Canis lupus familiaris: one gene and its partner. The protein of the gene in region 2 interacts with the protein of the main gene of each other region in a biochemical or structural test. Links are inferred from orthologs where the notes say so. Each region holds a gene or a part of one and is shown on either strand. Other genes may lie near its edges. The genes, in order: ZMYND11 and ETS2.

Region 1 (3,818 bases), on a different chromosome or scaffold from region 2:
CCTTCTCGGTAGAGCTGCATACGGGTTCACATCCAGTCCTCGGGGTCTGTGTTGCCCGCAGCGGGTTCCTGGCCGTGATGACGGGCGCCTCTGTGTCAGTCAGGGTGCCTGGGAGACAACGACGTGCTGGAGCCGCTATGTGGTGGGTCACGGTGTCGGGGCCCTGCTGCTTGTACGGATCTGTGTGTACGCTCGGCTCTGCCGGCCTCCGCCCCAGCCAGGTGTGCGTGCCTCTGCAGCAGGAGGGCCGGGAGCCGCGGGGGCTGTGGCTGGGCTGCCCGGAGCCCAGAGCCCACAGTGGGGCCGGTGCGTTGGCCAGTCTCTCCCGCTCCGGTTCTGACCGTCCTCACTGCTTTCTCCTCGGTGAGCGTCTGCGTTGCAGCCGTCCCCCACAGCCTCGGGGCGAGGAATCGCCCCAGGTCCTACTTTGTACTGGATAGAGTCTACTAGCGTTCCGGAAATTTCTAACTGTGCCTCTGGTGTTCCTTGAAGGGCATGGATCCCTTCTGAAAACATACAGGACATCACAGTCAACGTTCACCGGCTGCACGTGAAGCGCAGCATGGGCTGGAAGAAGGCTTGTGACGAGCTAGAGCTGCATCAGCGCTTCCTTCGTGAAGGGAGGTTCTGGAAGTCCAAGAACGAGGACCGGGGAGAGGAGGAGGCGGAGTCCAGCATCTCGTCTACCAGTAATGAGCAGGTGGGTGTCCCTGTGAGAGGCGGCTGTGCACACAGTTGACGTGCCCTTCCCTTCTACAAACGTTGGTACAAAACCCACCCACGGGCCACCCGCAGCCTGGTCCCGAGCCCACCAGGGCCGAGGCTGCAAGGATTTGGGGGAGCTGAGCACAGGAGGGAACAGGTTGCTCACTGTTGTCTGTAGTGTCTGCAGTAACACGCTCTTACTTGTGTGATGCCCGCAGCTAAAGGTCACGCAAGAACCAAGAGCAAAGAAAGGACGACGTAATCAAAGTGTGGAACCCAAAAAGGAAGTAAGTTGCCCGCCCTGCAGTGTCCAGGTGGGCGGCTGTAGGAAGTGCCTCCCTGTCGCGGTCACGACGGTCCGCCCCAGGGGTGCCGTCCATACCCTCGGCCCAGCTGGAACCCCACCGTCTGCCCGCCCGCCCGCAGTGCCAGAAGAACACGCACCAACCTGGAGTCTGCGTCGCACGGGGAGGGCGCTTTGCTGCACTTCCTGGAGCTCTCCTAGTTACTCAGCATTATGAGAAGCGGAGCATTTACCCGATCCTTCAGTTAGGTCAACGTTGAAAAACTGGAGGAAAGTGTGGCTACGCTCCGCCTCTCAAAGTTGTATGTCCATGCTCTAAAACCAGGTACTCATCTGGTGACCCATGCTCAGGACATCTGTTAATGAATCTGGTCCACAGCAGCGACTAAATTGATAAGGGTTTTACGTCTTATATGGTATTTTTCTTTCGTCTGTCTGGAAAGCAAAGACTGTAGTGTTCATATGCCACAAAATGAAGTTCCTGTTTTAAATTCTTGCTATTCATTGCGAGAAGTTTTGGGGGCTTTTTTTTTGTTTTTGGTTTAGTTGTGGTAAACTACACATGACACAATTGACCATCTCAATTACATGTTTTTTAACAGTAGTTCATTACCCTAGTTTTATCCTCCTAGAGCTCGTTCTGGAACCAGGACTACTAACAGGCGGCTTCGTGTCGCGTCTCAGCACTGTCCTTGCTCTGCAGGAACCAGAGCCGGAAACGGAAGCCGTGAGTTCCAGCCAGGAGATCCCCACCATGCCTCAGCCAATCGAAAAGGTGTCTGTGTCAACTCAGACCAAGAAGTTAAGTGCCTCTTCACCACGAATGCTGCATCGAAGCACCCAGACCACCAGCGACGGAGTGTGTCAAAGCATGTGCCACGACAAATACACCAAGATTTTCAATGACTTTAAAGACCGAATGAAGTCTGACCACAAACGAGAAACGGAAAGAGTTGTGCGAGAAGCTCTGGAAAAGGTAAGGCCACCTGGAGAACCCTGAGCGTGACGGGAGCGCTCCGGTAGTGCGTAGGCAGCTTCTCTTGGGCATCAGCCAGGCAGCTCCTTTTTAAAACTAGAACCATCATATAATACCTTTTATAACGTTTGATTGCTAGTAAACCTTGTTTTCCTTCACCTAAGACGTGTACTGCTCTCAATGAAACACAGGGAGGGGGTCCCCCCTTTCCGTAGGAACTGTGGAGTGAGGTGTGTGCATCGCGGGCGGGCCAGTCACGAGCTAATGTTCTCATTCCAGCTGCGCTCCGAAATGGAGGAAGAGAAGCGTCAAGCTGTAAATAAAGCTGTAGCCAATATGCAGGGTGAGATGGACAGGAAATGTAAGCAAGTAAAGGAGAAGTGTAAAGAAGAATTTGTAGAAGAAATCAAGAAGCTAGCAACACAGCACAAACAACTGATTTCTCAGACCAAGAAGAAGCAGTGGGTAAGTACGGTTTGTTCTCAGAGTGTGACCCATGAACATGTTCCACCCAGTGTCATGGTGGTGAAATGGTCTGCGATGCAAGTCACCTCAGAGAGACCTACGTGGTTATGCCAAGTTTATACCTGAAATAAGCTCAAATGTGAAATGATCAGCTCTAGATGGGTTTTATATTTTTACTAGAAGTCCTCTCCCCGGTGAGCTCCAGGACCCCCGTACTGAGTACCGCTCAGGATTACTTCGCTGAGTCTGTGAACCCTCAGACGTGTAGTTACTGTGTCTGATTTACGGGACTACATCCATGCACGCGCCGTCCCCTGAGGTTGGCCTGCTGACTCCTCATGGCCAGGGCTCAGTCTCTGGAACCTGGTGTCAGCAGTCGCGACAGCAAATTAAGGATTTTCAGATCATGCTGCACAGCGTTTATATGTTAGTCTTTTCACTCGATTTACTATTCGATGGTGACGTCTCATGAGCCTCTGACTCCACGTAGAATCTGACACACGGTTCCTTTCTCACCATGTCCTGTTGGCGGCTCTTCCCTAGATTGGGAGCTCGGACCACATCTCAGCTAACTGGTGGGGGAAACGTTTGTGAGTCTTCATGGGATCCAGACTACCTTTTCTGAAGCAGGTCTTTCCACGTCCAGTAGGTGTTCCCTCAGGAAAGTGACCACTACAAATACCGTGATAGAGAAAGAAAAGGGAACTTAGCATCTAATTCAGAACTTGATAGGAAAAGCAGATGAGTAACGAGATAAATACCGCTAGACAGGAATTAAGGTGTACTCCAGATAATCCCCCGCGCCAGGCCCTGGCGCCCTGTCATTCTGTCTCATGCAAAGACAAGAGAAAGCTAGAAAGTGGGCCCTAGACTTATAAGGTTACTGAGGAATCAAAGAAATGAGAGGAGAAGGCTGTAATAGGGAAAGGGAACGCTGCTCGTCTAGCATTCCCCAGCCGTGAGACTGCTGAAGCCCTGCTGGTGGGTCTGCTTCCCTGCCTCGTCCCCCACGTCAGTACCGCCCTGCGGCGCCCATCACTGCCAACACTCTGTGTGTCTCCAGCTTGTCGCAGCTCCAGGGTTTCTTCTTTCTCGGGGACAGACAGTACTCCACTCATCATCATCTTTCTTCACCCATGCCCTGGTGGACGCGGAGGCCGTGCTTTGCTGCACGTGCGGCAGTGAGCGTGGGGCTGCTCACATCTTTGCAGCATCCCAATTTCACTTACTTTGGGCAGATACCCCGGTAGGGAGATTGTGGGGGTCGGAGGGTAGCTCTATTTTTAACTTCTTGAGGACCCTCCATACTGGTTTCCACAGTAGCTGCACCAATTTGCAGTCCTCCCCACGGTGCAAGAGGGTTCCTCT
Region 2 (3,036 bases):
CAGATGCTCAACCACTGAGCCCTAAAATGTGTTCTAATTTCTCATATGGTGAACACTGATGACCAGTGGTATTCTAGTAAATGTTTAAGAACCAGCTCCTGAGGGGGCTTGAGGGAAGCCTGATTTATATAGGGCCTGCTGATTTTCATGGATTAAATATAAATACTCTTATTACACCATCACATTCAAGGTACCAATATGTCACTGATACAAAGTTGGGAAGGGACCTGTTCTCACCCGCCTGTGGGGAGGGACTCCAGCACACCTCTGATATAACCCACCTGTTTGCTGGCATCCTGATGGACTCTGAAGTGTGTTTGAGAACCCATCTCCGAGGACCATCACTCTCACCTCTTGGTAAGTCAGCTCAGCCATGTCAGGCATCCTGAAGAAAGTCCTTGAAGTTCGAATGCTAACGGGGTTCCTCACATAAGCATCCTACAAACTCTTCTGTTATCTCTGCCAATCCCCCAACAAAGACAAGGTGCCTGTATCTTTCTATTCTAATCCCCCCCCCTTTTTTTTTTTTAAATTCTAATCCCTTCTTAAAGAATTTTTTGATTTAAGGGAACACTTTTTGGGGTCCTTAAGAAAGAGCTATAGTTGGTTGTAGCTTGGTCATGATTTACTAGGTGACCTGTGTGTAAAATTGGCTAAATGGACAGTGGATCAGGGTTCACTATCCTCACTCCACCTCCCCTCCTCCCTGTTGGGGTGGGATGAATGAGGATTCTTACAAGGAAGCATTTATATAAACAAAATACTTTATTATTTGAGAAAGAAAAGGCCAGATTACAAAATCTTTATACTGAAGTCTGTTCATTACCACACCAAAGGTTTATAATGGGCTTTAGTTTCTGTAACTATTAGGTTGAACCACATGAAACTGCCAACTTTGTAGATAAAAAAAGTCAAATATTGGCAATTTCATGTGGTTCAACCCCATATAAAATGAGCCAATGGCTAAGATTCCCTTTGGCAGCAAGATGTTCCCAGTCACATGTCTGTTGATGTTATAAACAGATGTCTGAGTGATAAACATGTCCTGCTTGAGAAAAACATCCTGTGCTTAGACCCTGGAAATGGTCTCGTGTAGGTACTGAGCGACTGGTCCCCCAGCTCCGGGGTTGCTCTTCTCAGCAGGCCCCGCCACCCAGCTTCTCAGCCTTATTACACAGATGGCCTCTCCTCTAGGGACACCAGCCCCTGCTCCGAGTGCCCTCCCACATTGCAGGTGAAGCCCGTCTGGCTCTGAAACCAGGATGACTTGATCATTTCCAAGCATCCCGAATGCACGCCCACCCAGGGGGCTCCTTCGAAACCACCATGAAAATTCTCCATCGTGAGCAAAACGTTTTTCTCACATCAAATCCTCCAGTGGATTCTCTTTCCCATCTTGCTTGTCCTCTCTCTGCCTCTGGGCATTCTGCATCCACGAAAACAAGAACACGGAGCTGTGGGTACTGCGCATACAGGAGTAGCATCGTGTCCGGACAGCCCACGATTCGCCAGGTGAGCAAGGACAGGACAAGTCGGGTTTTGCTCACGACCTCTCCGTGAAGATCACCCTCCCGCCTCCCACCTGCCCTAGGCTTCAGCTCCCAGTACAATATGTTTAACTTCACACGGGACGCAGATAAAAATAAAGCTTTCTTACAAATTACATTTTTTTCCAGTGAATTACTTCTGCAGTAAAAGTAGCTGCTACATAAATCCCTCCTGCTCTCTGAAAAGGAGCCACATTATTTCCAAAAATAGCATTCTTATTTTAATCATACAGAATAATTTGGGGCGCGGAGGTGGAACCCGGGAAGGAAATGGCTGGTCGGGGAGGTTAGTTGTTGGGGAAACACAGTCGAACTAAAAAATAAAATAAGTTTTGTGTAGAAACGGATTTAAAGGCATGCACGGAAATGGAATACATATGCCATTTGTCAAGAAAAATACTGCTTTATAGCTTTTACATTACAATTAAGGAGAAAGCAGAGGCGAGATGCGCCTCCAGATAATAACATTAAGTGTTTTTATAAAAATTCCCAAATGTACAAAGTCCTTGCCAGATAATAATCTGGGCAAAACAAAACAGAAACAGGGACTGACCCTGTTAGACGTATACCTGTAGGCATATCAAATGTAAATAATACAGACTTTACAACTTCTTCGTCTGGCCTGGCAGACTGTTTGCAAAACGCTGCTGGTGCTCTTGGAAACCGCAGTGAACACCGGACGTCTGCGTTCTCATTTCAAATACATTTGCAGAATTATTTTAAATTACAATATACAGTTCTCGTTAAATAGGACTCTGAGAGGATTCTGACAACAATTATTAGGGTTACAGTCATATATACAAACTAACTTCTGAAATGGCACGCCTGGCTGAACCAAAGAGACCACTTCTGCCTTTGTGATTCCTGGCTGCCAAAGGCAAAAAAAAAGGCAACAAACAACAACAACAACAACAACAAAAAAACGTGTGCCCGAGGCATGCTCGCTCGCTCCTTTGGAGAATATCCAACGGCCTGAAGGTTCCTGCCGCGCGGCCTGCTCGGAGCCAGGACGGCTTCCCAGCGCTTCCTTCTCGGCCATTCTAAGAGCATCATAAATAGTGTGTTCCCGTCAGCAGGCTTTAGAAGTGGGAAACCATGCTGCTTTGGGTGAAAAAGCGCGGTTTCCGAGGAAATAAGGCCACTGCTTCGTGGGGACTTTCCTGGACGCGTGCGATCCCGCCTTTCAGGGTCCTTGGAGCAGTCGGTGGGTCGGGGGGCTGCCGGCGCAGCACAGGGGGGGCCTCAGTCCTCCGTGTCCGGCTGGACGCCCAGGATGGCATGCAGTTCCTCGGGGGTGAACCCCAGCAAGTTCTGGAGGTCGCACACGAAGCGGTACACGTAGCGCTTCCCCGACGTCTTGTGGATGATGTTCTTGTCGTAGTAATAGCGCAAGCCGCGGCTCAGCTTCTCGTAGTTCATCTTGGGCTTGTTTTTCCTCTTTCCCCACCGGCGGGCCACCTGGACGGACACGGGTGGAAAGCGTCCAAAT

The links.
Region 1: the proteins of ETS2 (region 2) and ZMYND11 form a complex in vitro, tested with the Homo sapiens proteins (2 studies listed by BioGRID). The link is inferred for Canis lupus familiaris from reciprocal best matches to the Homo sapiens genes ETS2 and ZMYND11.

What each region holds. Positions count from the first base shown.
Region 1 is NC_049223.1:33,552,325-33,556,142, reverse strand, and holds part of ZMYND11 (zinc finger MYND domain-containing protein 11), read left to right. Parts: intron 1-492; coding exon 493-700; intron 701-923; coding exon 924-992; intron 993-1,712; coding exon 1,713-1,985; intron 1,986-2,264; coding exon 2,265-2,450; intron 2,451-3,818. UniProt on the Homo sapiens protein: Chromatin reader that specifically recognizes and binds histone H3.3 trimethylated at 'Lys-36' (H3.3K36me3) and regulates RNA polymerase II elongation. Does not bind other histone H3 subtypes (H3.1 or H3.2).
Region 2 is NC_049252.1:33,537,946-33,540,981, reverse strand, and holds the end of ETS2 (protein C-ets-2), read right to left. Parts: intron 3,006-3,036; coding exon 2,790-3,005; 3' UTR 747-2,789; downstream 1-746. UniProt on the Homo sapiens protein: Transcription factor activating transcription. Binds specifically the DNA GGAA/T core motif (Ets-binding site or EBS) in gene promoters and stimulates transcription.